Macaca mulatta: one gene and its partner. The protein of the gene in region 2 purifies or fractionates together with the protein of the main gene of each other region. This does not show direct contact. Links are inferred from orthologs where the notes say so. Each region holds a gene or a part of one and is shown on either strand. Other genes may lie near its edges. The genes, in order: MCM8 and MCMBP.

Evidence for each region.
Region 1: the proteins of MCMBP (region 2) and MCM8 purify together in Homo sapiens (co-immunoprecipitation; 3 studies listed by BioGRID and IntAct, with this or other methods). This does not show direct contact. The link is inferred for Macaca mulatta from reciprocal best matches to the Homo sapiens genes MCMBP and MCM8.

The regions. Positions count from the first base shown.
Region 1 is NC_133415.1:78,003,532-78,007,352, forward strand, and holds part of MCM8 (DNA helicase MCM8), read right to left. Parts: intron 3,272-3,821; coding exon 3,062-3,271; intron 1,922-3,061; coding exon 1,845-1,921; intron 1-1,844. UniProt on the Homo sapiens protein: Component of the MCM8-MCM9 complex, a complex involved in the repair of double-stranded DNA breaks (DBSs) and DNA interstrand cross-links (ICLs) by homologous recombination (HR).
Region 2 is NC_133414.1:131,947,802-131,951,622, reverse strand, and holds part of MCMBP (mini-chromosome maintenance complex-binding protein), read left to right. Parts: intron 1-442; coding exon 443-594; intron 595-2,294; coding exon 2,295-2,395; intron 2,396-3,821. UniProt on the Homo sapiens protein: Associated component of the MCM complex that acts as a regulator of DNA replication.

The DNA of each region.
Region 1 (3,821 bases), on a different chromosome or scaffold from region 2:
AGGTAGGAGAATCACTTGAACCCAGGAGGCGCAGGTTGCAGTGAGCCAACATGCACTCCAGCCTGGGCCACAGAGCCAGACTCTGTCTCAAAAAAAAAAAAAAAAAGACTTGCGCTATTGATAGTAAACAGTGTTTATTGAGTGTCCTCTAATGTATTAGAACCCTATTTATCACTTTATAGAGCATCACTGCATGACACCTCAGAGCACAATCCTTTGTGGTGTGTTTTACGGCAGAGGAAACTGAGAAGCAGTGTGTAACTTGCCATGGCAGCTCCAGGTTGGACTCCAGAGCCCTTGCTCTTCCAGCTATGCTGCACTTTTGTTCACAGCCAAAGGGGAATAGCTGGGCAAAACCACCTGGTTCTGACACGACGCAAGCCCCAGAATCAGCAGCTACTAGGACAAAAGAATTCATCTACCTTAGAAGAATCAGAAATTACTTAACAAAGTAAGATAAATAATTTCATCTTCAATATATTTTTTGGTCTTGGAAAAGTAGATTCCTAACAGATATGTATTTTCATTGCTATGAGAGGATATTAAAAATGGATTTTAAATGAAAAAAACAAGGTATAGTATGTATATGGTATGTTGTTATAGTTACCATTTGTCTACAAAGAGGAAAAAAGAATATATAGATACATAGTCACACAAAAAACTGCTAATAATTGCCACTGGCTAGCAGGAAGAACGGGGTAGCTATTAAATAAGCAGAGTAGGAGGAAACTTTTTCCACTATATACTTTTTTTTTTTAGGCTCGAGTACAGTGGCACAATCTCAGCTCACTGCAACCTCCGCCTCCCAGGTTCAAGCAATTCTCCTGCCTCAGCCTCCCAAGTAATTGGGATTACAGGCGCTCACCACCATGCCTGGCTAATTTTTTGTATTTTTAGTAGAGACGGGGTTTCACCATGTTGCCCAGGCTGTTCTCGAACTCCTGACCTCAGGTGATCCACCTGCCTCAGCCTCCCAAAGTGCTGGGATTACAGGTGTGAGCCACTGTGTCCGACCTATACTTTTTGAACTTTGGAATTTTGAAGCTTATGAAAGTATGGACCTATTAAAAAATTTTTTAGCTGGAATAAAAAACCTACCTAAAATAACATTTCTGATTTTTAAAAGTCTATGTCTAAGGTAAACATATATGCTCAATTAATTTTTCTTTTCTACCTTCTAGGAATCATTATCTACTAAATGATATAAAATGCAAAGGATACAATTTACCAATATTTATCAAAAACCTATAGTATTTACTGTTGAACCCAGAAATATCACTTCTGAGAATTTATCATGTAGGTGTACAACTTACCCACGTATATAGTATCTTACATAGAACATTACTCACTGTAGCATTATTTAAAAGCACAAGAATGGAAAATATCTATGTGTCAAAAGGGAACTGATCAAATATACTATATAGTATATCTACACTATAGAATACTCTGTAGCTATAAAAAAAGAATCTCTAATAAGAAAAGATCTCTGAATATATTGTTAAAATTCAAAACTGATACAGAAGAGTATAATCGGTAGACTATTTATGGAAAAGCAATGGGTTTCTGGGTGAAGGGCGAGTAGGTGGTAAATAGCACAGGAGCTAGCTCTTCTCCAATAGGTTTTGGAACTGATTATAGCACTATGTAAATGTATTACTCATTCAAAAAAATTTTTAAGATTATTTACACAGTGAGAAATATTTTAAACTAAGAAACGATACTCTGTTCAGGAGGAAAATAAGTGACCCAATGGGCTAAATAAAAGCAGCCTTGGCCTATTGCCTAATTTGAGATGGGAAGATAACTGGTATTTCATTTAAAACTATTTGAAATTTTTATCTTACCTATATTTCATAATTTCCACTATATCCTCAGCATCTTCTTTGGTTGCTTCCTCTCTCAATTCCAACCTTGCTCGTGCCTTTAAAAGAAAACACCATTTTCAGATGACAAAAGATGAATATATTTACCACAGTATGTCTAAGCTTTACTTCATTTACTAATTTTACACAAAAACTGACCTTTAGGTGAGGAAGGTCATAACATCAGAAGTCAAAATATGAAAATAATTCTCTGGGCTGGCGGTGGTGGCTCACGCCTATAATCCCAGCACTTTGGGAGGCCAAGGTGGAAAGATCACTTGAGCCCAGGAGCTCGAGACCAGCCCGGGCAACAAAGTGAGGACCTGTCTCTACAAAAAAATTTTAAAATTAGCTGGGTGCGGTGGTGTATGCCCAGCTACTACTTGGGAGGCTGAGGTGGGAGGATCGCTTGAGTCTGGGAGGAGAGGCTGCAATAAGCCTTGATCATGCCACTGCACTCCAGCCTAGGTGACAGAGGGAGACCCTGACTCAGGGCAAAAAAAATAAAATAAAATCTGAAACCTTGACTATGAAATTACAACTCACTTAAAATAAGGATAAAACTCGTTTTTACTTATTAATGTATCTTTCTCAGTATTCATTTCAGGAGATTGGATGATAAAATACACTTGGTTTTCCCTTGCCTTTTGCTTTTAGGAAATCATGCCTAACCAATATGGTAAAACAACAAAGAGGAGTTAATCAGATTTTAGGAGCTAGAAGTCCAAACTCTAAGCTAGCTAATCTTAACTGCTGGAGTTCTTTTAGTATTTCACAACTGTGAATAGATATTACTACTGTTAAAAACACAGGCACTATCCTTGTGAACCTGTCATGTAATAAAATAAAATACTCAAGATACCTGACACATTCCGTGTTCCCATATACTCAACTTGGGATCTCAGAATCCTAGTTAACCTAACCACTTTTCAGACATTCCAGGAGTCTCCTAAGAGTCAGTCAAAGAAAAACAAAAGTTGCATGCTAAGTAATCGATTGTATGACTAGAAAGAAGTAGCTATACTTTGATATGTTACAGACATGACAAAATCTTTTTAAAAACTTTCATCCATCCATTTCTAACGTCTCTCAATAGAAAGAAAAACGGAGTCAGTTATGCAGACAATACTTCAAAAGAGAAGTCAAGGCACACCCTTCCCCTTTAAGCCAAAAAAGCAAGACCATAAAAAGAAACAAACCTCTGTCAGACGAATCAAAGATTCCAGCTGCCTGGTAGTGATTGGTGAGCTATTTAACCTCTGGCTCTGTTTCCGGAGCTCAAGGTAAAAATCTTGAAGAACTTGAGCAGCTTCTTTGGATAGCCTTGGGTACACATACTGTCGAGCATAGCCAATGTACTTTCTCAATAGCTGGTGGGGAATGGGATCTATTGTTTCTCCAGGAACCACCTGAAGCATGATTAAAAGGCCCAAGATAACAAAGATAAGTGGCAAAAAAAATCTTTCTGCTAAAATAACTTGTTTAGGCCAGGTGCAGTGGCTCACGCCTGTAGTCCCTGCACTTTGGGAGGCCAAGGAAGACACATCACCTGAGGTCAGGAGTTCAAGACCAGCCTGGCCAACACAGCAAAACCCCATCTCTACTAAAAATACAAAAATTAGCCGGGTGTAGTGGCACGCGCCTGCAGTCCCAGCTACTTGGGAGACTGAGGCAGGAGAATCTCTTGAACCCGGGAGATGGACGTTGCAGTGAGCCAAGATCACACCACTGCACTCCAGCCTGGGCGACAGAGTGAGACTATGTCTCAAAATACATAAGTAACTTGTTTAGACAAATACACAATTCTAAAAGACTCTCCAAATCAACCAAACACTTTATCTGACTTAGATTCCTTTTTTTTTTTTTTTTTTTTTTTGAGACGGAGTCTCTCTCTGTCACTGAGGCTGGAGTACAGTGGTGTGATCTCAGCTCACTGCAACCTCTGCCTACTAGGTTCAA
Region 2 (3,821 bases):
ATACATACTGGATATTAGTAAGTATTTGGTAATTTATTGCGGTATGGTTTTATTCTGCTTAGTTAATAGAAAAAGTATGTTCTACCAAGGAGTTTTGCTGTCGGTAGACCATGTATTCCTTAAATCAAAGATGTCAAAGTAACCATATTGCAAATCAGCTTTTGAAACTGGTTATACATGAGATTTGATGGGAGGAATTTTTTGATACCTTTATAGTAAGGGAAAAAAATAAATTTTTAGATCTTCATATTTATCTTTGTTCTCTTACAGATCAAACAAAAGACTTTGTTAGTATGTGCTGTTTCCTTAAAAACTGTAACAACTTGAACTTTGCAAGCTCAGAAGCATCACATATGTCAAACTTGAAAGGCACTTATGGAACATTCTTTTTCTCCAGGAGGGCTTAGAAATGACTAAGTGCAATGCTATCCTTTGAATTTAGGGAGTGTTGGTGGTCTTCAATGGTGTGGAGAGCCAAAACGTTTGGAAACTGAAGCTTCTACTGGGCAACAGCTGAACTCTCTGAACTTCTCTTCTCCTTTTGATTTGAATTTTCCATTGCCAGGAGAGAAGGGCCCTGCGTGCCTTGTGAAGGTAATAAAACCTTTCTTAGGTCTGACATTGACATGTTATGTGTCTCAGAAAGTAGCTTAGTGTCTGAGCATTTGCATTCGTTTTCTTATGCTGGACTAGCTATAGCAAATCACTGCAAATTTAATAGCCTAAAGCAGCAAAAGTTTATCATCTTACAGGCTTTAGGTCAGAAATCCAACATGGTCTCACCGAGGTAAACTCCTTTGTATGTAGGAGTTGGACTACATTCCTTTCTTGGAGCCCCTAAGGGAGAATTTCCTTGGCTTGTGGCTCCTTCTTCCATATTCATAGCCAGCAACATTGCATTTGACCATTTTTTTCATGGTGACATCTCACCTGACCACAACCAGGAAAGGTTCCCCGGTTTTAAGAATCTGTGGATTACATGGGGCCCACACAGTTAATCGAGGATAATCCCCCCCATTTCAAGGTTATTAATCACACCTCTGCACGTTCCTTTTGCATATAAGCTAACATTCACAAGTTAAAAGAATCAAAGAACATCTCAAATGCAGAAGCAGAACAACTTTTAAATTGTCTGTTCCCTTCCTGTATCATTTCTAACATATAATCTTCATTTTTGTCTTCTTCCTTCTCTCAGCAAAACCTATTTCTCACTTGTATTTAAAATAAAACAGAAGGAAGAAAACTTTTAATAGTTTTTTCTTCCATCTTACTTATTCTAGTGTTTTGATGCTGATAAATGAGCAAGTGACAGAAGGTTTTAAAATGATTGTTAAGGATTTCCATCCTTTGTGCATTTTGGGTTTTCTTGTTTTGGGGGCAGGGGGGTTTGTTTTGTTTTATTGAGGCAGTCTTACTCTGTTGTCCAGGCTGGTGTGCAGTGGCATGATCTTGGCTCACTGCAACTTCTACCTCCTGGGTTCAGGCGATTCTCGTGCCTCAGCCTCCTAAGTAGCTGAGATTACAGGCATGTGCCACCACACCCAGCTAGTTTTTTGTATTTTTCCTAGAGATGGGGTTTCACTATGTTGGCTAGGCTGGTCTCGAATTCCTGACCTCAAGTGATCCACCCACCTCAGCCTTCCAAAGTGCTGGGATTCCAGGGGTGACCACTACACTCAGATTCTCAGTGGTTTTAATTGAAATGATACTTCAGTCATATGGCACAGGGACCAAAATGACTACTTTTTTCCCTGCCATGCTTCTGCCGGGTCTGTTCAGTAAATAAATGGCCTTGACGATTACTAAAGTCCATCATGACAATTTTGAATGTGTTTTTTTTTTTAAATTGTGAAAAATCTTCTGGCCATTCTAAGTTTTGTGTTAATCCAATGTTGCAGTTTATGAATAAATGCAAAGTTAATCATCTTGTTTTTGTTTTTCCTTTTCTTGATGTGGTTAATAGATTTTGAGATAGTGCACGTTTCTAGTTTTAACTGTCAGCCTTTGGGAAAAGCCCTTTTTTAATTTTAGAAAAAGACTTTTTTTTTTGTAGTACTGTGGTATATTGAAAAGAGATATTAGTCTGGAAGTTAGGCATCCTGTGTTTTGGTTTTTCACTTATTTGCTAACTAGCAGAGTGACTCTTGGTCTCAATTTATAAAAATTTATAAAATAAAGGACTTGCTTTAAGGTCCATTTCCTGATCTAAAATTCTAAGATGTTAGTACTCCAGGACTAGTATCTTAAGCTTTGTGTCTGTTCTAACAGTATGATTTCATGTGGTCTCTTGTTAGGTTTATGAAGATTGGGATTGTTTCAAAGTAAATGACATTCTTGAGCTGTATGGCATCCTGTCTGTGGATCCTGTGCTGAGTATACTGAATAACGATGAAAGGTGAGTCTGTGTGCTCTTTTTCTGGTCTCCTTTATTTTTATGTAATTTCAAGTTTTTGGGAAAGTTACAGGATGGTTTTGAAGAACTCGCTTCCCGGATGTACCAGTTGTAAACACATGCACCCCATGCGCTCTGTCATTCATTTGTGCTCTCTATGGATGCACACATTTTTCTGAAACACTTCAAAATATATTGCAGAAATCAAACCCTTTTACCCCAACTGCTTGTCAACATTTCCTAAGAGCACTGACTTTCTCATATGTAATCAGAGTACAGGTATCAAAACTAGGAAATTTGCCACAAATACACAATACACTAATCCACAGTCTATACTTAATTTTACTAATTGTCTTAATCATGTTCTTTCTTACACTTCTCCCTTCCGCATCCCCCAGTCCAGGGTTCGGAAGCTCGCTTATTCTCTATTTCTACTGAGTTCATACTGTATTTCTGATTCCAGTTCAGCACCACAGGTGTCGTTCTACTTGTTCTCCTTTCTGTGTTAGTGTAACTCTTAAACTTGATTCCCATTTTTCACAATCTGTCATTTGCACATTTGTACAACATAGAGAAGGGAATTTCAGAATTGTTAACTCATACCTCTATAAAACATAAACCTAAATAACTAGAGTTCAATCTGAAATAGTCCTCAGCCTTTGTCTTTCATGGTCTTGCCACTTTTTTTTTCCCCTTAAACAACAGAAATATATGTCTTCCAGTAGTTCTGGAGACTGGGAAGTCCAAAATCAAGTTCCCAGCAGATGTGGTTTCTAGTGAGGGCCCACTTCTGGTTTGCAGGTGGCTGTCTTCTCACGTGGTAGAGAGCAGAAAGCCTTGACGTTTTTGAAGAGTGTAAGCCAGTTACTTGTTTCCTCATGTACTTGTTACTTGTTAGACTCAATGTTGCGCATTTTTGGCAGGAATATTACAGAAGTGATGTATCCTCAGTATGTTAAAGCAGGAGGCATGCGATGTCAGTCTGTCCCGTTACTGGTGAGGTTAATTTTCATCAGTTGGTTAAGGTGTGTCTTCCAGATGTCTCTTCTCTAAAGTTACATTTCTCACTTTGTAATTGACAAGTAACTTGGAGGAAGATACTTTGGGACGTAAATATCCAGTTTCTCATTAAACTTTCACCAATTTATTTCAGCATTAATTGATGATTCTTGCTTGAATCAGTTATTACAACGTTGGCAATTCTCTAACTCAGTACATTTATTTATTGGCATTCTACTATAAAAGATATCTCTTCCATGTGTTTATTCAAGTAATTTATTTACTTATATTTAGTATGGACTAATAGATTCTGATTTTATTCAATGTTAGTATCATTATATTATTTTGAGACCCAAGTTTTCCCAGATGTAGCTAGTGGGAGCCACTTTAAGCAGGTGCTGGGTCCTTTTTTTGAGATGATCTTACTATT